Linked DNA regions of Cricetulus griseus. The protein of the gene in region 1 interacts with the protein of each later gene in a pairwise test. Links are inferred from orthologs where the notes say so. Each region holds a gene or a part of one and is shown in the gene's direction. Other genes may lie near its edges. The genes, in order: Xiap, Rfc5, cyclin-dependent kinases regulatory subunit 1, protein N-terminal glutamine amidohydrolase, Ube2w, Ppih and Ssx2ip.

Evidence for each region.
Region 2: the proteins of Xiap (region 1) and Rfc5 interact in binary tests that used the Homo sapiens proteins (3 or more experiments, as listed by UniProt). The link is inferred for Cricetulus griseus from reciprocal best matches to the Homo sapiens genes XIAP and RFC5.
Region 3: the proteins of Xiap (region 1) and cyclin-dependent kinases regulatory subunit 1 interact in a two-hybrid assay, tested with the Homo sapiens proteins (3 studies listed by BioGRID and IntAct). The two-hybrid records come from large-scale screens. The link is inferred for Cricetulus griseus from reciprocal best matches to the Homo sapiens genes XIAP and CKS1B.
Region 4: the proteins of Xiap (region 1) and protein N-terminal glutamine amidohydrolase interact in binary tests that used the Homo sapiens proteins (3 or more experiments, as listed by UniProt). The two-hybrid records come from large-scale screens. The link is inferred for Cricetulus griseus from reciprocal best matches to the Homo sapiens genes XIAP and NTAQ1.
Region 5: the proteins of Xiap (region 1) and Ube2w interact in a two-hybrid assay, tested with the Homo sapiens proteins (2 studies listed by BioGRID and IntAct). The link is inferred for Cricetulus griseus from reciprocal best matches to the Homo sapiens genes XIAP and UBE2W.
Region 6: the proteins of Xiap (region 1) and Ppih interact in binary tests that used the Homo sapiens proteins (3 or more experiments, as listed by UniProt). The two-hybrid records come from large-scale screens. The link is inferred for Cricetulus griseus from reciprocal best matches to the Homo sapiens genes XIAP and PPIH.
Region 7: the proteins of Xiap (region 1) and Ssx2ip interact in binary tests that used the Homo sapiens proteins (3 or more experiments, as listed by UniProt). The two-hybrid records come from large-scale screens. The link is inferred for Cricetulus griseus from reciprocal best matches to the Homo sapiens genes XIAP and SSX2IP.

Annotation. Positions count from the first base shown.
Region 1 is NC_048604.1:25,900,718-25,903,437, reverse strand, and holds the end of Xiap (baculoviral IAP repeat-containing protein 4), read left to right. Parts: intron 1-2,001; coding exon 2,002-2,195; 3' UTR 2,196-2,220; downstream 2,221-2,720.
Region 2 is NC_048597.1:97,330,277-97,334,537, reverse strand, and holds the start of Rfc5 (replication factor C subunit 5), read left to right. Parts: upstream 1-1,461; 5' UTR 1,462-1,554; coding exon 1,555-1,613; intron 1,614-2,700; coding exon 2,701-2,765; intron 2,766-3,228; coding exon 3,229-3,365; intron 3,366-3,845; exon of another isoform or gene 3,846-4,261. UniProt on the Homo sapiens protein: Subunit of the replication factor C (RFC) complex which acts during elongation of primed DNA templates by DNA polymerases delta and epsilon, and is necessary for ATP-dependent loading of proliferating cell nuclear antigen (PCNA) onto primed DNA.
Region 3 is NC_048596.1:133,402,906-133,405,155, forward strand, and holds cyclin-dependent kinases regulatory subunit 1, read left to right. Parts: upstream 1-1,423; 5' UTR 1,424-1,461; coding exon 1,462-1,704; 3' UTR 1,705-1,750; downstream 1,751-2,250.
Region 4 is NC_048603.1:29,479,147-29,482,646, reverse strand, and holds part of protein N-terminal glutamine amidohydrolase, read left to right. Parts: intron 1-1,030; coding exon 1,031-1,130; intron 1,131-2,506; coding exon 2,507-2,557; intron 2,558-3,500. UniProt on the Homo sapiens protein: Mediates the side-chain deamidation of N-terminal glutamine residues to glutamate, an important step in N-end rule pathway of protein degradation.
Region 5 is NC_048595.1:144,389,909-144,393,937, forward strand, and holds the start of Ube2w (ubiquitin-conjugating enzyme E2 W), read left to right. Parts: upstream 1-1,229; 5' UTR 1,230-1,250; coding exon 1,251-1,352; intron 1,353-4,029. UniProt on the Homo sapiens protein: Accepts ubiquitin from the E1 complex and catalyzes its covalent attachment to other proteins.
Region 6 is NC_048595.1:32,848,508-32,852,467, forward strand, and holds the start of Ppih (peptidyl-prolyl cis-trans isomerase H), read left to right. Parts: upstream 1-1,160; 5' UTR 1,161-1,229; coding exon 1,230-1,295; intron 1,296-1,454; coding exon 1,455-1,519; intron 1,520-1,837; coding exon 1,838-1,861; intron 1,862-2,119; coding exon 2,120-2,164; intron 2,165-3,212; coding exon 3,213-3,255; intron 3,256-3,960. UniProt on the Homo sapiens protein: PPIase that catalyzes the cis-trans isomerization of proline imidic peptide bonds in oligopeptides and may therefore assist protein folding. Participates in pre-mRNA splicing.
Region 7 is NW_023276806.1:12,733,447-12,736,946, reverse strand, and holds part of Ssx2ip (afadin- and alpha-actinin-binding protein), read left to right. Parts: coding exon 1-78; intron 79-3,056; coding exon 3,057-3,171; intron 3,172-3,500. UniProt on the Homo sapiens protein: Belongs to an adhesion system, which plays a role in the organization of homotypic, interneuronal and heterotypic cell-cell adherens junctions (AJs).

The DNA of each region.
Region 1 (2,720 bases):
GATCCACATTTATAATCTCCATAATCAGGGGGAGAGGCTGTAGGATAACTAGTTTCAGACTAGCCTGGCTCCATAGTAAGACCTGTTGAAAACATCAACAGCAAAAGAAAATACATTAAATTATGTTGGAAGAAAACATAGGCTTTTAAGCATTAAAGATTATTGTCATGGGGAGGCAGCTAAATGGGTAAATTGCTCTGTAAACATGAGGACCTAAGTTTGGATCTTCAGACTAGCCTAAAAGCCAGATGTGGTGTGAACCTGTAACCCCAACACTGGGTATATGAGAAAGAGAGACAAGCAGATCCTCAGGGATTCCTGACCAGCCAGTGTAGCCAATCAGTGAATTCCAGTGTCAGAGAGAGACTCTGTCTCAAAAAATAATATAGAGGAGCAATTGAGAAAGATAACTAACAAGTTTCTACCCCTCATGTACACACGAAAGCACACTTATATACACAAGTTTGGTAAATACTGTTCCCTCTAGGACACTAAATGCCATAAAAAGGAATGGTGTCAGGCATGCTAGCACAAATTTTTAATCCCAGCATTCAGGTGGCAGAGGCAGTCGGATCTCTGAGTTCCGGGCCAACCAGAGCTATACAGTGAGATCCTGTTTTTGTTTCATTTTGGTTTTATTGAGTTTCTTGTTTGGTTGGTTGTTGGTTTTTAGTTTTTCGAGAGAGGCTTTCTCTGTGTAGTCCTGGCTGTCCTGGAACTCTCTCTGTCGACTAGGCTGGCCTGGAACTCACAGAGATCCACACTACCACACCTGGCTTGTTTTTAAAGGAGCTACATAGTTACATAGGGAAATGCATTGTATGTTTCCATAAATGTGTATACATACACAAAATGTCCCCACGTGCCAGTGTGACTAGTACCGGAAGCTTTAGAGTTAGAGGATGGTGTAATTGTTCAGTGGGTAAAGGCACCTGCTTCCAAGCCTGAAGACCTGATTGAGTTTGATCCTGGAACCTAGGTGGTGGAATGAGAGCACCAAGTCTTGAAAAGTTGCCCTTTGGCTTTCACATATGTGCTGTAATGTACACGCCTACACAAATATAAATAAAATGCAATAAATTATTTTTTAAAGAAAACTTGTTTTTGACAAACTGCTGTAAGAGGCAAGAATGTGGTACAGTGAATGCTATACGATACCCTGGACTTCATATCCAACATCGCTGACATCTCCCACCCTACCTCCACATACACCAAAGGAGAAACACAAGTTTACACAAAACCATTAGTATACAGTGATTACAAAGATAGTTAAAATATGTAATTATTTGTAGTGCCTAGCACACAGTATTTATGCTCTATTACTATTAATTTTGTTGCTATTATATATGACTACAATTACAGTTTTGTGGCATATTTGTTAGACTTTTACCAAACTGTTTTGACAAAAGTTCAACTATGCAGCTACTTCAGTGTCCTATATATGCTACTCATACTCAAACATGTTTTTATTTGGATGCCCTGCCAACATCTCAAACGTAGCTGAAAATGCAAACCCTCCATCTCCGTTTATGTTTCCAGTAATTATCACAATCTCCTTGATACATTAGCAAACCCAACTTTAGTTCCTCTTTCTCTCTTTAGCCCTTACATCTAGAATTATCAGTGCTCTTCAGGTATGTTGTGACTTTTACTTCATCCTTGCTTTTCTGCCTGGCAAATTGTTGCTCCACCATGGTCCTCCTCCTCCTCATGGTTCCTTTCCCAACCAGCTGGACAGGAAAACTTGTTCTTCTTGCCCCAGAGCCCTTTGTCTGTAACTTTATTACAGCACTGACTACTTTATACTTTGTACTTACCTCTCTAGCTGCAGCTCACAGCCTCTCCCACTAGCATACAAACTACTTAAGAATGTGTGCCATGTGTGAGTCATTTTCGTGTCTCCCAAATCTTGAGTGTCTGGCACACAGGAGGTCTCAGTGTTTGAATGAATTTAAACAACAAACCCTCAAACTAGTATATGTTGTTTTTCTCTTTGTGCAGACATCAGTACGGAAGAGCAGCTGAGGCGCCTACAAGAAGAGAAGCTTTGCAAAATCTGCATGGATAGAAATATTGCTGTAGTTTTTGTTCCTTGTGGACATCTGGTCACTTGTAAACAGTGTGCTGAAGCAGTTGACAAATGTCCCATGTGCTACACAATCATTACCTTCAAACAAAAAATTTTTATGTCTTAATTGAGAGCAACAGTAGGCATGTTATACTCTTCTTACTCTAATTGAATGTGTGATGTGAGCAAACTTTAAGTAATCAGCATTGCATTCCATTAGCATCTGCTGCCAAGTGGAAACAAATGTTAACAGCACTGGTACTGTCTAAACTTTGGATTTCTGGAACTTTCAGGTTATTAGCTATATCGTTTATCCAGTTTTTTACTCAATTAAAGCCTTAGACAAAGAAGCATTTAATATTATAACTTTTCACCTTGTGTATTTGTAGTACACTGACTTGATTTCTATGTGTAAGTGAATTAATCACTATCATTTTTCATTCCTTTTGGATAAGCTTAACAAATGGAGTGTTCTGTATAAGCAGGGAGATTTGAGTTAATCTACCCATTCACTTGCTCTGTTTATTGTGAACAGAGAATACACTGTTCCACACTGGTGGGAGGATAAACATTGGTTTGTAGATGTTTGTGTCTGTGTTTTGGATTCTGTCCATTTTCTTTCAAATTTATAAACATACTTGTATGAATGGTT
Region 2 (4,261 bases), on another chromosome or scaffold:
TGTGTGTGTGTGTGTGTGTGTGTGTGTTAGAGTAAAGGGAATGGGAGAAAGGGGAGGGGAGGGGGAGACTGGCCTCCGGGGACAGGATCAGGAGAAAAGGGAGGGAGGCAGAGAGACTGGGGCGGCAGACAGAGGTGGGGAGGTAGACAGGGCCCTTTTTAAAGGGAATGTAGTGAATGTGCACAATTGGTGCTCTTTGGGGCTGCAGCTGAGGGCCTATCCTGTCAGAATCCCAAGGGCAGAACAGTACAGATGCCTGAATACTAACAAACTCCAGGTCAGTTGAGGCTACAAAGTGAGACCCTGCCTTAAAATAAAAGCAAGCAAATAATAATAATAATAATGATAATGATAATAATGATAATAAAGGCTTTATTGTGGATGTTATACACACTCCTTATAGAAAAGACAGAGCAGCAAAAGAGGTGAAAGTTGGGCTGTTGAGTTGGCTCAGTGAAGAGAGGTACCTTTGGCCAAGTAGCACAAACACACTAATTAATTAATTAAAATGAATTTGTTTTTCAAGACAGGGTCTCACTATGTAGCTCTGGCTGCCCTGGAACTCAATCTGTAGACCTTGAATTCAGAGATCCACCTTCCTTTCCTCCCAAGTGCTGAGATTAAAGGTGTGCACAACCATGTCTGGTGCTGAATAAATTTTAAAGTTGAAAATAAAATTGGTCTGAAATCCTCTTGATGTAGGGGAAAATAAATGTATATGTATATATACATATGTATATATACAAACACACAGATGTCTTCATGTGTATGTTTATGTGTGAGTGTGTGTATGTGAGTGTACATGTATGTGAATGTGTTATATGTATTCATGTTTGTGTGTATATATGTAGCTGTGTGTATTTGTGTGTATATATGTCTGAGTGTGTGCTTCTGTATGTGTGACTGCACGTGTTTATGTGTGTGCATAAGTGTACATGTATATGAATGTGGGGATATATATATGCATCTGTGTATGTATGTTTGTATATGTGATTGTATTTTCGTGTATATGTCTATATGTGTATGTGTATGTGCGTGCAAATGTGTTTATGTGTATGTGAGAGTATATGTATGTGACTGTTGTGCATATGTTTGCATGGATGTATGCTTGTATATGTAACTGTGTTTTCGTGTGTGTATTTGTGCGCACGCGTGTTTGTGTGCTGCTGGTTATGGAACCCAGGGCGCACTGCCTGTACCCACACCCGCGGAAGTGTTTCTGGCTGTGGAACCTGCTGCTCCATTGTGGCTTGCCCTTGCGCTGGCAGGATGTGGTCCTGGTGAGGCCCGCGGTGGCACCGGCTGCGGCGCGGCGCGCGGTCTCCCTGGACCTCCTGCGTGGCTCAGACAGCCCGCTCCGGCTGGAACAGCCAGCTGTGGCAGGGCAGCCGGCCGGCGCCTCGGGTTACCTAGCAACTAGAGCCCTAGCAACAGGGAAGAGGCCGGCCGGAGGCAGGAAGCCGGAAGCGGGAGGCGAAGCCTCGCGAGGATTGGTTTGCGCGCGGACTCTGAGTAAGGCAGGTCGGTGCCCCGGGCCCGCAGCATCTGTCAGTCATGGCGGCGGTGCCTCCGGAGCAGCGGCCCGCGGCGGCCCGGGCCCGGAACTTGCCCTGGTAGGAGCGGCCCCGCATCCTGCTTTCCGCCCTTCTTTCTAGAAGCTTTACGACCCCCTTCCCGCTCCCGGCCTGCGGCCCGCGTGGGCACTGCAGACACCCGGCCTTGGCGCCTCAGCCTTGCCTGCAGCCGCCCGCTCCCCCGCTCCCATACCCAACAGTCATGCTACCGAGGCCTGAGCGCAGCTTAGCCATCCTCTGATGCCTAGAGCATCGCCAATGCCCTTTGATGACCCTAAGAGATCGATCCTGACTTTCTTTAGAAAAGCTCAGAAACTGGGGGTAGTGCGTAGGCTTGCATTCGACCGACCTCAGGTATCCGAATTCAGCGCTTGCTTTCTTTTTTCCTTTCATATTACCTTTTATTTGTGGGGGAGGGGAGTGTAGCAGCGCACTCGTGTGGAGGTCAGAGGACAACTTACAGGACCGGGTTCTTCCCTCCCAGCAACTTGGATCCCCGGGATCGATCCCAGGTTCTCAGACTTAGCGTCAAGTACCTTTGCTTGCTGAGCCATATCGGGCCCCAGGACTTGCATTCTGAACGGTCCTACAGCAGCTGTCTGGCCATTCTTACTACTTTTCTGGTCTGTGTCCGAGGAGGAAGAATTGTCGTGGGCCACACATTAAAGTCACAGGAATGGAGTCACAGACTGTGACCTTTTGAGTCTGGCTTCTCCAACTCAAGGTTGCTCCATGCTGTAGCATGGCCTGGCTAAATCATAACTTACTTGTGGATATTTGAGTATGAGTTCTTTTCAAAGTCACATGCCTATCCAAGTTGAAGCTCAGTGCTGTTGACTTGGGGCCCACTGTGGGGGTGGAGCCCAATGTAGGATGTTCAGCCACTCCTGACTTCTACTCACCAGATGCCACTAACGCCCTCTGCCCACTTATTACAGCTAATGGCCTGGCAGATGTCTCCCGGGGGACAGAACCCACCACTGGTTGTGAGAGTCACTGGCTGTATTGAGATGGGAAGGGTTTCTCTTCCTCTCCTGCTTGGGATGTGAAGGCGTTTCTTTGCATGCGGCAGAACATGGCTTGCATCTGTATATGCTGCTGTAATTTGTGTTGAATCCCATTTCAGGGTTGAAAAGTACCGACCACAGACCCTGGCCGATCTCATTTCTCACCAGGACATTCTGAGTACCAGTGAGTATCCCTGTCGGTTGTTGTCCTTGTGGGAGGGCTTGGATACATTTGGTGTTGATGCTGTCTCTGCTAGGAGACAGTGTAAAGGAAGGACTGGACTTTGTAGGATGGAGTGTATTGGTTCCTTTTCCATAACTGCACTAAAATACCTCCGAGGACAAATTTTTAAAGATAATTATTTTTATTCTATTTTTTGTTTAGGTGTTTTGTTTACACATACATGTCTGTGTATCATGTGTGCCTGGTGCCTCTAGAGGCCAGAAGAGGGTATTGGGTCCTCTAGAAGTGGCATTGTAGGCAATTGTAAGCTACAGTGTAGGTGTGTAGGTGCTAGGAACCTGTAAGAGCAGCAACCACAGGCGGGCATTGGTGGAGCACACCTTTAATCCCAGCACTCGGGAGGCAGAGGCAGTTGGATCTCTGTGAGTTCAAGGCTGACATTGTCTCCTTACTCCCGCCTTAGTTCAGAAGTTCATCAGTGAGGACCGCCTGCCACACCTACTTCTCTATGGCCCTCCAGGGACAGGAAAGACATCCACCATCCTGGCCTGTGCCAAGCAGCTGTACAAAGATAAAGAATTCGGCTCCATGGTCTTGGAGGTGAATGGGACATTCTCACTCCACAAGTAGCTCAGACCTCCAGACTCTTAGCTTTCATTCCACTAGTTTTCTTTACCTTCCTGGCCTCTGTGTCCTGGTTGGGTTTGGCCATCGAGATCTGAGTGGGGGCAGGAGGGGTTAAATAGAGATGTTATTTGGACTCACTAAGGTGTTAATACCGGGCAACCTCCACTTCCTACAGGGCTCAAATCAGAGGCCGTGCCCTCCCCACAACCTGTTCTACCTGCCCACAGCTCTTGTTAACCCCCCCTAGATTTAGGGGTGCCAATTAATACTGCATAGCCCTGTAGCTTCTCTAGAACTGTGGTTCTCAACCTTCCTAATGCTGTAACCCTTTAACACAGTTCCTTGTGCTGTGATGACCCCAAACATAAAATTACTTTCATTTTTACTTCATAACTGTAATTTTGCTAGTTATGAATCGTAATATAAATATTTGTATTTTCCAATGGTCTTAGGTGACACCTGTGAAAGGGTCTATTAGATGTCCCTCCAAAGGGGTCATGACCCACAGATTGAGAACCATTGCTGTAGACTCAACAAACACTTTTAAAATGTCAGTTTCTTCATCTGGATCATCTTAGATTACTATACTGAGATATGTAGTCTGTGGATGTTGGGACCTTGGCTGATAATCTTAATACCCTTAGATTACAAAAATCTGAATGTTATGTTGGAAGAAAAGCATTTGGGGGACTAGGGATGTAGCTCAGTTGGTAGAGACTACCATACACAAAGTCCTGGGTTTGATCCTTAGTTGTGGTCATCTTTAGGCTATGTGAGTTCAAGACCAATCTGAGGACAAAAGACCCTCACTCAAAAGCATTTGACTTACACAGTAGACATGAGGCTCAGCCCTTTGTAGTCCAGTGTTC
Region 3 (2,250 bases), on another chromosome or scaffold:
CTAAAGTGGCTAGCCTCAGGTGGTTCAACATCTCAGACTGCTCTAAAGCGACCTGCACTTTCCCAGCCCCAGGTGGTCCCACAGAACCTGGGCAGTGAGGGGAAACAGATGTGTCGTCCCCCCTCCCCTCCCCACCAGCCTGTACTCCTCTCTTCTCATTCTTTGGCCATCATTCCAGCCTTCCTGGGCCCCAACACAGATGCCATTCCAGCAGGAAGCAGTAATAGAAAAGATTCCATCACCCTTTATCACCCACAAAAGGCTGGAACGTTAGATCTCACAGAAACCACAGACAAATGGCTGAGGTGCCTCTTTAACATATCAAAGCTGATTCTGGTGACCAGTCTCTCTCAGTCCCTACTCACAAATAACCTGTCACAGAGTCATCTTGAGTGGCATATGCTGCCCCCTAGCCTCAACCTCTCTTCAGCCCATGGTCTGGGTTTCTCCTCCCCCAGCCTCTGATCCCCCTATAATCTCAACCTTTTTGAGCATGCAGTCTCTTGGTCTCTTGGTTCCCCTCTTGGCCTCCTCCTTTCTCCACTCTTCTCTTCCTCTCACTCCTACCCCTGCACCCCTTCTCTCATGGCACAGTTTATATGGACCCTTCCAGATGCCTCTGGCTGTTGTCTCCCTCATATCTACAATAAATCTTGTCCTCCACCATATCTGGAGCAGTCATGTCCTCATTTCTTCATTCAGTATATAGTCATGCTTTGCTTGGTGATGGGAAGATTTCAGAAAAAAAAATATATTTTAGGGGATTTTGTAGTTCTGCAAACATTCTGTAGCATATTTGCCCAGAGCTGGCTGGAGGTAACCCATTACTAGAGCAATAAGACAACAAAAGGAGATCAAGGGGATACAAATTGGAAAGGAAGAAGGCAAATTTTCACTATTTGCAGATGATATAATAGTTTACATAAGTGACCCAAAAAATTCTACCAGGGAACTCCTACCGCTGATAAACACCTTCAGCAAAGTGGCAGGATACAAGATTAACAACAACAACAAAAAAAAGGTAGCCCTACTATATATAGATGAATATGGCTGAGAAAGAAATCAGAGAAACATCACCCTTCACCATAGCCACAAACAACATAAAATATCTTGGGGGCTAACTCTAACCAAACAAGTGAAAGACCTGTATAATAAGAATTTTGAGTCTTTAAAGAAAGAAATTAAAGAAGATACCAGAAAATGGAAAGACCTCCCATGCTCTTGGATAAGTAAGATCAACACAGTAAGAATGGCAATCTTGCCAAAAGCAATCTACAGATTCAACATAATCCCCATCAAAATCCCAGCACAGTTCTTCACAGACCTTGAAAGAAAAATACTCAACTTTATATGGAAAAACAAAAAACCCAGGATAGCCAAACAACCTGTACAATAAAGGAACTTCTGGGAGTCATCAGGAGGCCGGCGGTGCGGGGCTGAGGGCCCTCGGGCTGAGCAGTCATGTCGCACAAACAGATTTACTATTTGGACAAATACGATGACGAGGAGTTCGAGTACCGGCATGTCATGTTGCCCAAAGACATAGCCAAGCTGGTCCCTAAAACGCATTTGATGTCTGAATCTGAATGGAGAAATCTTGGCGTTCAGCAGAGTCAAGGATGGGTCCATTATATGATGATCCATGAACCAGAACTTCACATCTTACTCTTCCGGCAGCCACTACCCAAGAAGCCAAAGAAATGAAGCTGTTGAACCACCTTTCAAACTCAAGCTTTACACAGCTGTCCTTCCTTCCTACACCTTCTGATAGCATGATTATGTTGCTTTCTTATTTCTCACTTTGACATTTAAAGGATGTTTGTTCAAAACATTGTTTGATTGTGTTGGTACCTGCTTTGCTTCTTGAGCTGAGCCACCAATGCCACAACCTGTCAGATGAGTGTGACCTCAAAGACCTGGTGTGCTCTTTATCCAGTAGGCATATCCATACTTGCCATCTCTGGGAAGCATGTGAAAATCAGATCATGGCTGTTACAGGGATAGTGTGAATTTCCTGTTGTGGTTTTTACTATTGGGTATTGTATTTATGGTGACTTACGGATTTATGTTTCAATATATTGGAAACTTTCCATTTTATCTGACAAATCTCTTCCATGTTACAAGCCTTGATTAAAGGAAGTTTTTATAATATAAAAAAATAAAAAAATAAAGGAACTTCTGGAGGTATCACCATCCCTGACTTAAAGCTCTATTATAGAGCTATAGTTCTGAAAACAGCTTGGTATTGGC
Region 4 (3,500 bases), on another chromosome or scaffold:
GGACAGGACTGACCCCGCCTGGCCTCTGCTTCCTGGTGCAGGCCCCCTGCTCTCTGCAGAACACTGCAGTATCTTCAGTTCTGGTGAACTCTCACTGTGCAGGGTGCCTGCGCTTAGGAGCGGGCTTCACACGCCTTCACCTTGACGTTGAGTGCTTGGAAACATGCATGCATGTATGTATGTAGTGTGTGTATGTATGTCTCTCATGTCTGTCTGTCTCTAATTATGCAATTAACAAGGCTCTAAACCACACATGGAGCGTGCCTGTAGTTCACAAGTACTCAAAAGGTCACCACAAGTTTGTGGCCAGTTTGGTCCACACATCGAGTTCCAGGTCAGCCAAGGTCTACATTATGAGACATTTGTCTCAAAAAGGGAGGAAGGAAGGAAGAGAGGGAGGGAGGGAGGGAAGGAGGGGACGCAGTCTGCATAAAGATGCCATCATATAGTTTGTCAGCTACAACTAAGGGACTAAATTCTATATCAAATCTAATTTAAAACATTCTGTCAAGAGCTTGGCGGTGGTGGTGCACGCCTTTAAGCCCAACATTCCAGAGGCAGAGGCAGGCAGATCTCTGAATTCAAGGCCAGCCTGGTCTACCGAGAGAGTTCCAGCATAGTTAGGTCAGTTACACAGAGAAACCCTGTCTTGATAACCAAAACAACCAAACAAAAAAGTCCTGTGACATTTCTCTATTAATTGGGATTTCTGGAGGGTTATGGTGTACGTGAAAACGTGCATTTTATAGAGGAGACAAGCGGTTCTTAGAGAAGACAGAATACAAAGCTGCTTTTCTTGTTAGTGTTGAGTTTGGATCCCAATGGTTTCTCAGCTTCTGGAATCCTGGCACACTCTTTTACAGGTCATAGTCTTCAGTGGGTGTGGTCCTCTGTCTGGATGCGTGCACAGTACAGGTTGGCTAGCAGCTTGTTGACTGTGCCTTAGAGGAGAGTCACTGTTACCCAGCTCTCTGATGAGGTGGTTAAGGTCCTTTCCAATGATATGGATTAAACAATTATTTTATTTTAGCGAGGAGAACATTTGGAAGCTCTGTGAATACATCAAAACCCATGACCAGTATCCCTTGGAAGAGTGTTCCGCTGTCTTCATATCAAATGAGAAGAAGATGGTAAGTTGGTGAGTGATGGCGGTGACATCAGAAGCTCAGCGCAGTCTGGAAGCTATTCTGTTCTCAAATGTGCTTTGTAACAGCAGCCTTTCAAACAGCTTTCTTTTTCTTCATTAGATTTGGTTCAGGAGAATTTGGTCCCTTGCTTGTAGGTAATGAAGTATGTAATGGCATGTTTATGTAGAATGCACAAGCAACTTGCTTTTTGCAACAGAGTCTCATAGTGTAGACCTTGGCTGACCTGGAACCCATTGTGTAGACCACGCTGGGCACAAACTTGTGGGGACCCTCTGAGTACTGGGTTTATAGGCATGCTCTGTGTCTAGCTTGGGGCTTTTTTAATTGTATAATTAAGCCATATAACTCTGATTTGAAGTAAAGATTTGTGTCTGAAGTTTGAATAGAGCTGGAGTAAACTTTCAGGGAGCATTAGAAGTAGCCCTTTGGGATTTCCAAACACTTTTGTGGACGTTGCCTCATTCGGGGCTCTTAGAAGTTCTATGAAATAGGCAGGGTCTAAACGACTTTCTCTGTTTTACTTTATTGACTTTACTTTTGTTTTGGAGACGGGTCGCATGTATCTCAGCCCACTAGCTTCACAGTCATCACATAGCTGAGGCTGGGATTTCAGGCACGAGCCTCCGTGACCTGCTAACTTTCTCCACCTAATCCGTGAAGAAGATGAGATGCAGAGAGGGCTCATGAGTAACTGAGGACTGACCCCGCCTGGCCTCTGCTTCCTGGTGCAGGCCCCTTGCTCTCTGGAGAACACTGCAGTATCTTCAGTTCTTGTGAACTCTCACTGTGCAGGGTGCCTGCGCGTAGGGTTTAGATTTTATTCTTTCACCTTGATTGCTTAGAAACAGAAACGTTTTTGACTTCAGAATTTAACTTAATTTATCTATTTATCCTGAAATTGGGTCTCACTATGTATCCCTGACTGGCTTCAAACTCAGAGGACCACCTACCTCTGCTTTTGAGTGTTGGGATTAAAGGCATGTGCAACTATGCCTGGCTAATTTTTTAAAATGTTTACAGGTGCTTTGCCTACATACAGGTCTGTGTACCTTGTGTGCACTGTGCCTGCAGAGGCCAGAAGAAGGGCTTGGATCCCTTGGACCTGGAGTTAGAGATGTCTATTAGCTACCATGTGGGTGCTGGGAGCATTCTGTCTTCTCCAGGAGCAGCCAGTGTGTGAGTTGCCATGTGGGTGCTGGGAGCAATCCTAGGTCTTCTCCAGGAGCGGCCAGTGTGTGAGATCTGCTGTCCCATCTCCCCAGTCCACTAAGGAATAGTTTATTACTTACTAGTGTATTGGTGGTATAAAGAATCTAGACGGGTTTGAATGAGACTCACGAATGTCCTCTGTTTTGTAGGTACCTATTTGGAAACAGCAGGCAAGACCTGGGAATGGACCTGTGATCTGGGTAAGCTGGCCACCTAAGAGCCTCTGATGCAGTGTTCCTTGTGGCCTCTGAGTAACCAGTATGCTGTGGTGAAGCAGAGTTGAAAGGACTCTAGAGAAAGGCCATGACAGTCATTAGTAAAAGGATCTTTTGAGAATGGATGTTATTCTGTCTGTGGCAGAAGCTCTGTGGACATATAGTTGTCTAACTTTTGTTTTGGGATCTATAATGGTTTGTGTGTGAAAAGTCCTCTACGGGCTTCTGTGTCTGAATTCCTGGTCCCTAGCTGGTGAATCTATTCTGTGAGGTTGTGGAGCCTCTGAGACCCGAGGCCTGGCTGGTACAAGCGTGTCAGTGGGAATGGGCCTTGAAGGTTGTACCTACTTGTGGTTATAGCCTGTGTTCTCCCAGACTGTTGTCATGTGAGGAACAATTGTCTCGTATTCCTGCTGCCATGAACAGTCACTCCCATCATGCCTTCCTCATAGGATTGGTAGACTGTAGGATTGGTAGACTGTAGGATTGGTAGGCTGTAGTTGGTAGACTGTAGGATTGGTAGACTGTAGTTAATAGACTGTAGTTGGTAGACTGTAGTTGGTAGACTGTAGTTGGTAGACTGTAGGATTGGTAGACTGTAGTTTAGACTGTAGTTGGTAGGCTGTAGGGTTGGTAGATTGTAGTTGGTAGACTGTAGTTGGTAGGCTGTAGGATTGGTAGGCTGTAGGATTGGAGAATGTAGTTGGTAGACTGTAGGATTGGTAGACTGTAGTTTAGACTGTAGTTGGTAGGCTGTAGGGTTGGTAGGCTGTAGGATTAGTAGACTGTAGTTGGTAGGCTATAGGATTGGTAGACTGTAGTTGGTAGACTGTAGGGTTGGTAGACTTGTGGGCTATCTGTACACAGTGTGAAGCTGTATTGCTGTGATTGGTGTCATAAAAAGCTGATTAGCCAGTAGCTAGGCAGG
Region 5 (4,029 bases), on another chromosome or scaffold:
CTTTGGTAAAGATAAACTGTGTTAACATTATGCCATAGAATAACTGCATATTTTAAAGATCTTTTTCCTTTTGTGAACACATTTCCTTGCGGATGTTCCCAGAGAACATCGTGATCTATCTTAAGTGTGAAGAGTGATATTCTACATTGCCATTATATTTATATCTATCGTAGAGAAATGTCTAAAAAAGAAGGCAAGTCAATAAAAAGAAAGATTTAAACTTTCGGGTAAAGCAAAAGCCATCTATCTACTCGACATGCCAGCCTCCTTGACTCTTTTAGAGATAGGACAGGAGGTGCAAGCTTTAGCCTTCCATTTTTTCTTTTATAAACCAAAAGACATCTTTGGTTCTGGAAGAGCTTTAAAAATGTGACTTCTGATAAATGTTGGCAGAACTGGTGCATGCCTAGAATAAATTCTGTATGCTCAGTGTTTCCTGCCCAAACTCATTCATAGGTTGGCTGATCACAAAACTGCCCACCACAGAATTGGCTGAAGAGAAATGTAGACATGGCACAACGTGAGCTAATATATGAGAATTTGTGGCTAGAGTCAAATCGCTAATCAAATAGACTGATGTAACAACGACTACTATGATACACATGGAGTTTGCAATTTAGATGGTTGGGTAAGGAAGCTAGAAAATCTCACACAAAAGAAAACATTATTCTTTCTCCTTCCCTTCCCACTACATTTCAGCACAAAAAATCTAGTTGCTCTTGCCTTTAAGATGACAGCGTTGCCCTGCTCTCAGTTTTCATTCTGTTCTATAAGGAAATTTGTGACTCTCTGTTCCTCCCCCCAACCCCCAAATTAGAAATAGCCTCCTGGATCTGCAAAGACTAGAGAGCACCTCCCCCCCCCCCGCGAAGTTTTATCTGGCTCAGAAGAAGAGCTGTAGGTGTAGAAAAGGCATACAAAGGGGGATTAAAAAATAAATTTAAAAAACTACAAATCTTACACCTGTAGCTAGGAAAACAGAATGAGACCAAAAGAAAATAAAAACAACCAAAAAATTCGCGCATCCAGACAGCTTCATGATCTAGGGAGTACTGCTGCGGTTCGAACCTGAGCTGCGCCTCACCCAGTAGCGAGGGTGGGCCAGCGTGTAAACTGGCTGGGATGAGAGGTACCCAAGGCGCCCCGCCCCGCCCCACCACGCCCCGCCCCGTCACGCCCCCGGGCGCCCGCGCCACAGCCAATCGGACGTGCCGGCCCCTTCCCATCGGCGACTCCACCCCGTGCCCGGGATGTTGGGCCCCCGCGGCGTGACGCGAGCACGGCGGCTCCGCCCCCTGCGTCTCTGGCCTCGCTGGCCTTGGGGGGATGGTTTCATCATGGCGTCAATGCAGGTGAGCGGAGCTGCTGCAGCGGGGCGGGCGTGGGGGCCGCCGAGACGGGGCGAGCGTCGGCGCGGGGGCGGCGTCCGGGGCCGCGGCCCAGGCTCCCGGTGGCCTTCCCTGACCCCAGAGCGTCGGGGATCACCGGTCGGCGAGCGGAGCGGGGGTGTCGGCCGGTGGCCGCGGACAGTCGCGGCCGCGAAGTTGTGGCATAAAGGCGGCTGAGGGGAAGAAAGGGCGAAGTTCGGCGTGCGCTCCGCGGTGGGGGCTCCGCTCCGCGCCCCCGCTCGAGGACGGCCGCTGCTTGGCTCCCAGGCCACGGGGGAGATGCTTTCCTCTCTCCCCTCCCCCTGCGCTCCCCGGCGGGGTGGAAACAGCTGTGCCCGCCGCCGTCGCCCGCGGTCCGAGCGGCCCGAGACTGGCAGAACGCGGGGCAGCCGGGGAGCGCCTCGCCGAGGACGGCCGCTTGCCCACGGCCCTCCGCGGCCTTTGCCCGGCCTCCCACGCGCAGCCTCGGAACGCACGGCCCTTGCTAGCTCTTCTTCGATCTTCATCCCGTGCCCCGTGGGTGCCTCCTTCTGTCAGCCCGCACTCTGGGGCATTCCCCGGCAGCCCACGTCTCCTTCGAAGCCGCCCTTCGCCCGCGTCCCCAGCGTCCTGTGCCACCCTGGGTGCGAGCTCGTGGGCCTGCTCCTCGGCCTCTGGAGAAACTCGCTCTTAATATATTTTTTTTCCCTTAGGATGCCCCACCCTTGCGGACTCGGTAAGGCTTTGCCCTTCTTCCCCAGACCTTTAAAACCTTAGTTTGGTAGAAGGTGCCTGTTAACCCGTGCCCTATCAATCTCTTGATGGTGGTTTTCTTGCCTTCCAACTTAATGTACTCCTTTTTTCCCCCTTCCAAATCCAAGAAAAAAAATCTTTTTTTTTTTTCCCCAGGCAAAGATGGCAACTACAGTTGTAGTTTGTAGAGATTGCATTATCTGTAGCTGGCGTTTAATGTACAGATAGGGTTAGCGTGTTAAAGCACATAAGGAGAGCGGGTAGAACTCTTGTGTAGAGAGTCAGCGGAACGCCTTTTGGAGTTTTACACCCTCTTGAGTAAAGAGAGAAACCACATTTTCCTTAGAAGAATTTTTGGCTTTTGTTTCTAGAAGAATAAGCAAGATCCCGTTGTTGGCGCTTCTCTGTGCTGGAAATGTTTTTCATTCTTGCGCATTTTCCCCCCTTTTCACTGTGTCTTTCAACCTGCTTTCCTTAAAATACTCTGCTTTTGCCTTTGCGTGTCCCTCTGGCTTCTCCTGCAGAACAATAAAACTGCAAGTAACATTTCTAGTTGAAGAGATGTCACGAAATGGTGCAGCAAAAACAAGAACAATTTCAGGAAACGTTATACTTTACACTCTCCCCAGAGACGTTAGAGAAGTTTCGTCATCTGAGGCCAAAAACGGAACTGTGGAGCACCAGTTGGACAGCAGATGGGCTATATGATTGCTTTAACATTTTTATCGGTATTAAGACATTGTTTATTATGACCTTTCGAAGATGAGCTGTCTTAAGATAACAGGCATGATTTAAGACTAAAAATAAAGATTAAAATCCACACACTTGGGATTGTATTTGGCGTTGGCAGGAGAGCTGGTTAACTTTTACTACACTTCAAGTATTTGGAAAAAGCAGGTTTGTATATAAGAGAGATGGATATTTGGTATTCACTCTGTGTCTTCAATAGTGGGGAAAATGCCTTTTATGCCTGATCTGAGCCTCAATCACTACCTTAGACTCTAGCACCAGGCTTTCATTCCTTTGTCTTCTGATTAGCATGGGGAACTGACCCTTTCTGTTTCAATTAAGGTTAAATCTTGGCCTTTTGTATGTATTTCAAATTATCTGATAATTTTTTTCGGGAAATAACATTTGAGGAAGATTTATTTTTATGGTGTGGGTGTGTGCATGTGAATGCAGGTGTCTGTGTAGGCCATTTCTGATTGACTGGAGCTAGAGTTGTAACAGGTGCTTTCCAGTTGCCAGATGTGTGGTGCTGGGAACCAAACCAGGCTCCTCTGCAAGAGTTGTTCTTGCTCTTAACCACTGAGTTATCTCTCCAGCTCCGTAGCAGACTCTTTGAAGGACACTTTGGTGTGTTTTCTTTTTATTTCTGTATCTTTGTACAAAGTTTATTTCCTGACCATTTTCACAGCAGGAATTAGCTCTTTTCAAAACAAACACAACAATGTAAGTAATCAAAGGTGTTCATTAACTCAGCAAGTATTTTTAGATAAGATTTCCATATCTTACTACAGGGGGTTATTATTATTGCTGAAGAAGAGATTACTTATGCTGCAGTCGGAGCTGTATTTTAAAAACAAGCCATACTGTGCACATGTAATGTGGGATTTGATCACTTGATAGCAATGGAATAATTTTTATATGCAATAAAATCAAGTTAGGGCGGTCTTTCAGTTTCTTACTAGAGGATATGAAATTTAAAGCTGAGGTTATAATTATCTGTCTGTCTGTCTGTCTATCAGTCAATCATCTTTTTGGTTTGGCTGTTCTGGAACTCACTCTGTAGGCCAGGCTGTCCTCTTAACTCAGCTGTCTGCCTGCCTCTGCCTCACAGGTGCTGGGACTAAAGGTGTGTGCCACCACTGTCCAGATTGTTTTTATGTGTTTTTTTATCTTTTTTGCT
Region 6 (3,960 bases), on another chromosome or scaffold:
CCTGGTGGAATCCACTCAGGCAATACCCTGGTCAGCCCAAGGTTCCATGGGAAAGAAGTCTGCACGCAGGTGCAGAGGACCCCTTTAAAAGATAGGCCCCTGCACCTTTACGCTCTGTCTGTCTCTCTCTCCCCGTTTCTCTGTTTCCCCGCTCTCTCTCTCTATGGCGACCGGCCATGGCGGTCAGCCATTACCCTGTTCCTCTTCTTAGTCTCCCCATTCTACCGGGCCTTATAATAAACTTATAGTCAATATGTCTGTCTCAATATTTCTCTTTTCTTCTTTTTAAACAAAAGAATAACATGCAGGATACCCAGTTTGTCGCATGGGTGCTGGGATGCCCTGATCCTCCTGAACCATCTGTTCAACGCCAGTTCCAAAAGGATATGGCAAACCATGTAGGTAATCCCAGCATTTGGGACGCTGAGGTAGGAATATCGTTGAGCTCAAAGCCAGCCCTTGATAAGCAGCAAGACTGTCTCAAAAACATTTAAGGTGAAAAAAAAATATTTTAGAAGAGACAAAACTCGAATCAAGGCCTTAAAGGACGTAGCAATCTAACGTCTCCACAACCGAGCCAGAAAGGGTAAAGAGTGGTAGGCAGGAGATGAGGCTAGGTAGTGTGAGGTCTCTACTTTCAGGTCTTCGCTACCAGCGGTGGCAAATAAATGGCATTCGGGCCTTCGTATACACAGCTGGATTTACGTTAAATATGCAAATCCCCCACACACGATTTACAAGCACAAAGGTTGTTTCTTAAACTGCAACTCTGTGGGAAATGAGTTGGAAGCTTGCGACAGAAATGAAATCACATTTCCAGGATCCCGAATGAGCCAGCCTACGTAACATTTTACAACACGGAGGGTGATTCTGAGGGTTCTCCCCTCGTGGGTGCCGCCTCGGGGGCAGGGGACACCCAGTGTGACGGCTCAGCAAATGCTGTCTGCCGGTCACTCATTTGTACTGCACTAGTACAGTCACGCGAGTAGGGAGCCCGCCGCCTTCGGCGAAGATGCCTGCACTCCCTCGCTTCTGCGCCTTCTCCCCTCATCCCCGCCTTCCCTCAGAACCGACCCGCTCTACAACACCAGTGTCCGCCTTCCCGGCGGTCCGCGCCGCGCTTCCGGGGGCGGGGCCCAACCCCGGTCGGTTTCCACGGCCCCTGTGCTTTGGCTGAATTCAGCAAGGCCGGTCCCCGGAAACTGGACTTCTACTTCCGGGTCAGAGCCATGGCGGTGGCAAATTCAAGTCCAGTCAATCCGGTGGTCTTCTTTGATGTCAGCATCGGCGGCCAGGTGAGGTGCGGGAGGCCCGGCGGACCTGCGCGGCTGGGCAGGACACGGGTGAGGGAGGCAGCCGAGACTGGCTGGGCCAGGGCGGCCGAGGTGGGCGCTTCCGAGCTGCGTGGGCTGCGGTCGTGGACTGAGCCTTCTTGCGTCTCCCGTCACTTGCAGGAGGTTGGTCGCATGAAGATCGAGCTGTTTGCAGACGTGGTGCCTAAGACGGCAGAGAACTTCAGGTGAGGAGATGCTCCACTGAATCAGCGTGGCTGAGCCCGAAGCCGGCCTCGGGGCGCTCTTTGCAATGTCTGCCTCTGTCCATCCGTCCACTGCCTTGTGCTCTGTGCTCTGTGTATTATTGCACTGGCCGAATAGCTACCGGGTTTGACCGTTCCTGTGTCAATTTGTGATATTAGTTTACATGGCTGCATGCCCTGACATCCGGCCGACCAGTTAGTGGACTTGCTGGCCCCACTGTTTGTACCCTCATCTCCCGATATTAGAGATGCTCCGGGCAGCGATGGCATGGTAACTGTTCATTGTTTCTTTCCTTTTAGGCAATTCTGCACTGGAGAGTTCAGGTCAGTCTCAGATGTGTTTGACCTCTATTCCTCCTACTCCTGAAGGGTGTCCTGGAGGTTTGGTGAGGGTATTGGGGAACCATGGGCAAGTCTTGAGTGGTGGAAGATGATATTCAGAGGGTGTCTTCTTTATCGATGCGTTCTTTAGCTTGCTTCTATCCAAATCTTTCTGAGAGTCCTTTTAGCCTCCAGTGTGTCCCAAACGGAAAGGACCCATGGTTATTTGTCATCACTCCAAGTCTTTCTTTTTGGTTACAGAAAAGATGGTGTTCCAATAGGATACAAAGGAAGCACCTTCCATAGGTAAGGCTTTTGGCAAACTGTTAATGCAGTCATCACTTGGTATCTGTGCAGGCAATCCTGAACACCTGAGTACACCTATGGTAGATTAGGTTTGTTGTTTAAAGTGTCATGTCCAGGGCTGAGGATGTAGCTTGGTGGTAGAGAATTTTCCCAGCATACCTGAGACCCTGGGTTCAATACTCAGCACCACAGGCACCGTAAGTCATCCTAGATGTAGAAATGATGGCAAGGAAAACACTATCAGTTGGGTGCAGGTGCAGTTCCATAGGCTTCTATACCCAGCTTTTATGTGGGTTCTAGGGATCTGAACTCAGGTCCTCATGCCTCATTAACAAGGACTTTACCCACTGAACCATCCCCCTGGTTCCAGGTAGAGGCTTTGGTAATAATTACTATTATCAGGCAGTCATCTGCAGGAACCTGACCTTCTTGAATGCCTTGCTTTCTGTGTTTACCAATTTTTGTTAGGGTTTGACAGAAGTTGTTCCACTTTAATCCTGAAATTTTTGTGTCATCCATATCAGGGGCTTTAGAATTATGGTCTTTAATCCTTCCCAGCATCCTTGTGAGGTAGTATGTGTAATCTGCCTTCTTTAAGGAAGGAAACTGGGGCTAAGAAAGGACTATGCCTGGGTATATAACAGCTTACATTACCCTGTGTGTGTGTGGCAGTCCATTTCACATATATTTGCTGTTGTTCTTTCTTTCCCCCCAGATTTTCATTAAGCCCTTGACTTTTTTTTTTTTTTTTTTTTTTTTTTTTTTTTGTAAATATGTTATTTCTTCCTGACAGGTTTCAGCCCTTTTCTGTTGTTCAGGTGCTCACTCATATACCTTAGATCAACACAAAGATGCCCCTGGAGCTTAAAACAAGTTATGGTTCGTAATCCCTCATCTTGCTCAACTCCAGGGGTGAAGACTCAGTCTCTAAGCCACGGTGATAAACATTGTACTTCAGAAAAAATTACTAAGCTGCTATGTTGGTGACCAAACCACTGAATCCTTCCCTCGGGAATTTTTTGTTTGTTTTGTTTTTACTCTGTTTCAGGGTCATAAAGGATTTCATGATTCAGGGTGGAGATTTTGTTAATGTAAGTACTGCTGTTTTTTCTTTGCTATTCTTCCTATAGGGCTCCAGTCTTGAGATTTAAGAATAATAGCTAAGTTAAATGGAGAGAGCATGGACTAGGGGATGCACTGTAGAATTGCTGGTACTGCTGACTGTGCCCTTAGAACATATACCAATACTAAACTTGAATCATTAACTCCCATTGTCCAAACCTGAGCTTTTTTGTTACCAAAAATTGGACTTTGCTAGTCTACCTATAGACAGATGATCTAAGACCACATTCTTTGACCACAGAAAACTTTGAAATTAGCTGCAGCCCCCCTCCCCCACAGGAAGTGAGCCAACTGCTTGTATGCCCTATTTTTCCTTCCACTTCTGGTGTCCCTCTCTAAAATTGTAGTTTTTTGTTTGTTTTTGTGGTCTGTCTTTTTTCCTTTTGAAAGCTGAGGGGTTTTTTTGTTTTATTTTGGTTTTTGTTTTGTTTTGTTTTTTGTTTCTCAAGACAAGGTTTTTCTGTGGTTTTGGAGGCTTGCCTGGAACTAACTCTCATAAGACTAGGTTGGTCTCGAACTCAAAAAGATCCGCCTGCCTCTGCTTCCCGAGTGCTGTGATTAAAGGCGTGCGCCACCACCACCTGGCTGATAACCACAAGCCAGTTAGTGGCAAGGGGTCAGGAGAGGCAGGCAATTCAAAGGGTGTTTGCTCTGCTTGCTGAGGTAGCCCAAGG
Region 7 (3,500 bases), on another chromosome or scaffold:
CTTTTTAAAGAGCAAAAAAAGAATTTTGAGAGAGAAAGACGCAGCTTTACAGAAGCTGCGATCCGCTTGGGGCTGGAGGTGAGCTCTGCAGTGCTGCAGCCCCGAGCACAGGTGTCTGGGAGGGTGCAGGTGGATGCTCCTTGGATCCACTTCATCTGAAGGATCACACTAGCCATCCTACTCCCTGAGAAGAATGGTCAGAAATGACTACACTGTTAGTTTGGGATCTCAGCCATCCTCAGGCTGAGCTTTTAAGCACAAAACCAAAACTTGGGTTGACATACTTCAGTTAACAAGAACAGTTAGCCAGAGGCAGAAGTACAGAAGCCAGAAAGCAAGGCTAGTACATTTAGAGACTTTCCAAGAACTGTAGCTTTGGTGGACTAGATCTTTGTTTTGGTTTTGGCTAGAGGTGCTGTCCACATGCTGAGATCCATGGCCTGGGTGGCACTTCCATCATGGAGTCAGTTGTGCTCAGGCCTGGGGGCCTGCTCCATGACGAGTAACTGCAAATTGAAGGGAGAGGCTGAGCATATGGATGATCTCTGTTAGATACTCAGTTCCTTTTGGGCATCATGTGCTGTCAGAAAATAGTACCAACAGCATCCTTGGTTAACAGAAAAGAAAACACAGTAAAAGATTCTTTATCCCAATCCTTGTAGAGGATTGTATACAAGTTAGTGGTTTGGATTTTTGCATCATACATGTCCACAGTTTGCATTCTGTCAGCAATGCATTGCCTCCATAGTGCCCTTTCAAAAACTGAAACTTAAAACTCAACCTATACAAAATATTATGGAATGACACAGAGTCCTCTTTATCTCCAGTATCGTCCCTTAGAAACAACCACTGATTTTAAAAAAAAAAATGTCTATTGGAAGCTAGGCGTGGTACTCGCAGCTTTTACAGAGGACTGGCTGGCTTCCTAGCACCCACACCATCTGTAACTCCAGTGCCAGGGGAGGAGGCCATGGGCACCAGGTACACATGTAGTGTACATACATCAGACACATAAAAGGAAAACATTTTTAAAAGGTTAAAATGCCGTATGTTAAAGTTCTTAAAAAAAAAATGACCAGTGGACTTTTTTTTTTTTGTTTTATTTTGATGATTTTGGAGCAGTCTCTCCATGCAGCCTGTGCTGATCTAGAACTTGCTGTGCAGAACTGGCTTGAGTGATTAAGGCGTGTGCCACCATGTCATGTCGAGCATGGTGTTAGCTTTTCCCCGCCTGACTTGCTTGCTCCTTCTCTTTGCATCCTTATGAAATTGTTTTTATTGTCCACGGGCTGTCTTATGTATATCCTGCCTTATGTTATAAAATACCTATAAATGGCGCGATTTATCGAAAGTTGGGGCCTAAAAATTGAAAGCCAGAAACAAATGTTGATCCTATGATTATGTGGTATTACTCATTTCATAAACAAATAATGCATTTGAACACATAACTGATGGGGGTTGAATCCAGGGCCTCATCGTGCAAGGCTCCTGTGGCTGAGCCAGTCTTTGCTCTGAAAATACAGTAAGACTTTGCCTGCTGGAGAAGCCGTATTGCTCTCTAGTGTTTGTGCTCTAATCTGCCACATCAGACTCCATGGCTGTGTTTCTACCGCTCATGTTAGTCCTCTTGTTTTCCTTGGGAAGGCTGTGTCACCATCTTATATCACATTTTAAGAAGAAACACAGCATAGTGACAACTGAATATTGAAATATCTAAAACTATATTATATTGCATCAGCAGAAGCTGAAAGGATTATTTAGTTTTTGTTGCTGAGGAGAAGCTAGATGACAACATAGCCTGTGTTACTTTGTAGGTAATTTCATGGGGCACCTGCCCCTATGCCCTTCTGTGGAAGTTTATGGGATTTCTTTAGTTCTAATGTCTTCAGTAGACTACTCTTTAGAGACCGTTTCTTCTGCTTGTCTCCCATGTTTGACTTCTCCGTGCTGCCAGGTGTGTCCATGGCTGACATTGGGATCTTAGTTCTGGATATTCTCTTACATTATTCTTTGGATCAGTTTTAGTATTTTGTAATTTTCCTGTTCTTTGTACACTATTATTGTTGTGCATTTATGAGTCTTGTAATATATGTGACAGTATTTTCAGAACTCTTGAAACATTAGTATCAGCGGTCAGTTTATTATCTTGGCCCTTTTTCCTCTTCTGCCATTGGTTTTCTCTGCTGCCTGGTGATATTTGGTTTTACGCTCCCATTTATGAAAGACTCAGTCCTGGTTATTTTAAGGGCTGACACTGATTTTGTCCATAATTGTAAAGTCCCTTTCATCAGTAGTTGTCTTCCTCAGGCCACAAACTTGCCGTGTGTCCCTCCAGCTATCTGAGAGTGTGCCTACTTGCAGACACAGGTGACAGTGACAGATCAGACAGGCAGATGAGAGAAAATGTGGTTTAGGAGTCATCAGCTGACAGCAGAGCAGTCACTTGGTATGATCTGTGTGTCTGCCCTCTTGGGGCTCAGTAGCATGGCTAGAGGACGAAAGACATGCCTGATGTAGTCAGAAGCCTGTTTCCAGGCGACTGACTTATGAAGCAGGGTATTTTTCTGATAGCAGTCTCATGGTTGTATGTTCTTTGTGTTCAAAATCCTGCTACTACTCTGTTGGTGTAGTAAGTGAAATCTATGATTTGCTATTATTTAAATTATTTAAAAATGATATAGTGTAGGAGGGTGTTTTACCTGAATGTATGTCTCTGCTGCACATGTCTGTGCACCGTGTGTGCCTGGTGTCCTCAGAGGCCAGAAGAGGATCTTGTATCCCCTGGAACTGGTGTTACTGATGGTTGTGAGCCACCGTGTAAGTGTTGGGAATTGAACCCAGGTCCTCTGTAAGAGCAACAAGTGCTCTTAACCATTGCACCATCTTTTCAGCCCCCAGATTTTTTTTTTCAATATAACTTTCTCAAGTGTCTTATATAGTTTCTAGGTGACTATTTCATACAAGCAATGTACAGGTGGCCAGAGAGGAAGCAGCTGGAGAAGTTATGGGAAATGACAGTGAGTCATTGATGGTTCTTGGTTTGTTTGTTACCCTAGAGAAAGGCGTTCGAAGAAGAAAGAGCCAGCTGGCTAAAGCAACAGTTTTTAAACATGACGACCTTTGACCACCAGAACTCAGAAAATGTGAAACTTTTCAGTGCCTTCTCAGGAAGTAAGTGTCACAAGCTGTTGAATCTGAGTGCCCACCCACCCAGTGCAGAGGTGAGCTGTGTGCAGCCTCACTGTGTGCAGGCTGATCTCTGAGCAGAGGTGAGCTGCAGCCTCACTGTGTGCAGGCTGATCTCTCTGAGCAGAGGTGAGCTGCAGCCTCACTGTGTGCAGGGAACCTCTGTGCAGAGGTGAGCTGCAGCCTCACTGTGTGCAGGCTGATCTCTGAGCAGAGGTGAGCTGCAGCCTCACTGTGTTCAGGGAACCTCTGTGCAGAGGTGAGCTGCAGCCTCACTGTGTGCAGGCTGATCCCTGAGCAGAAGTGAGCTGCAG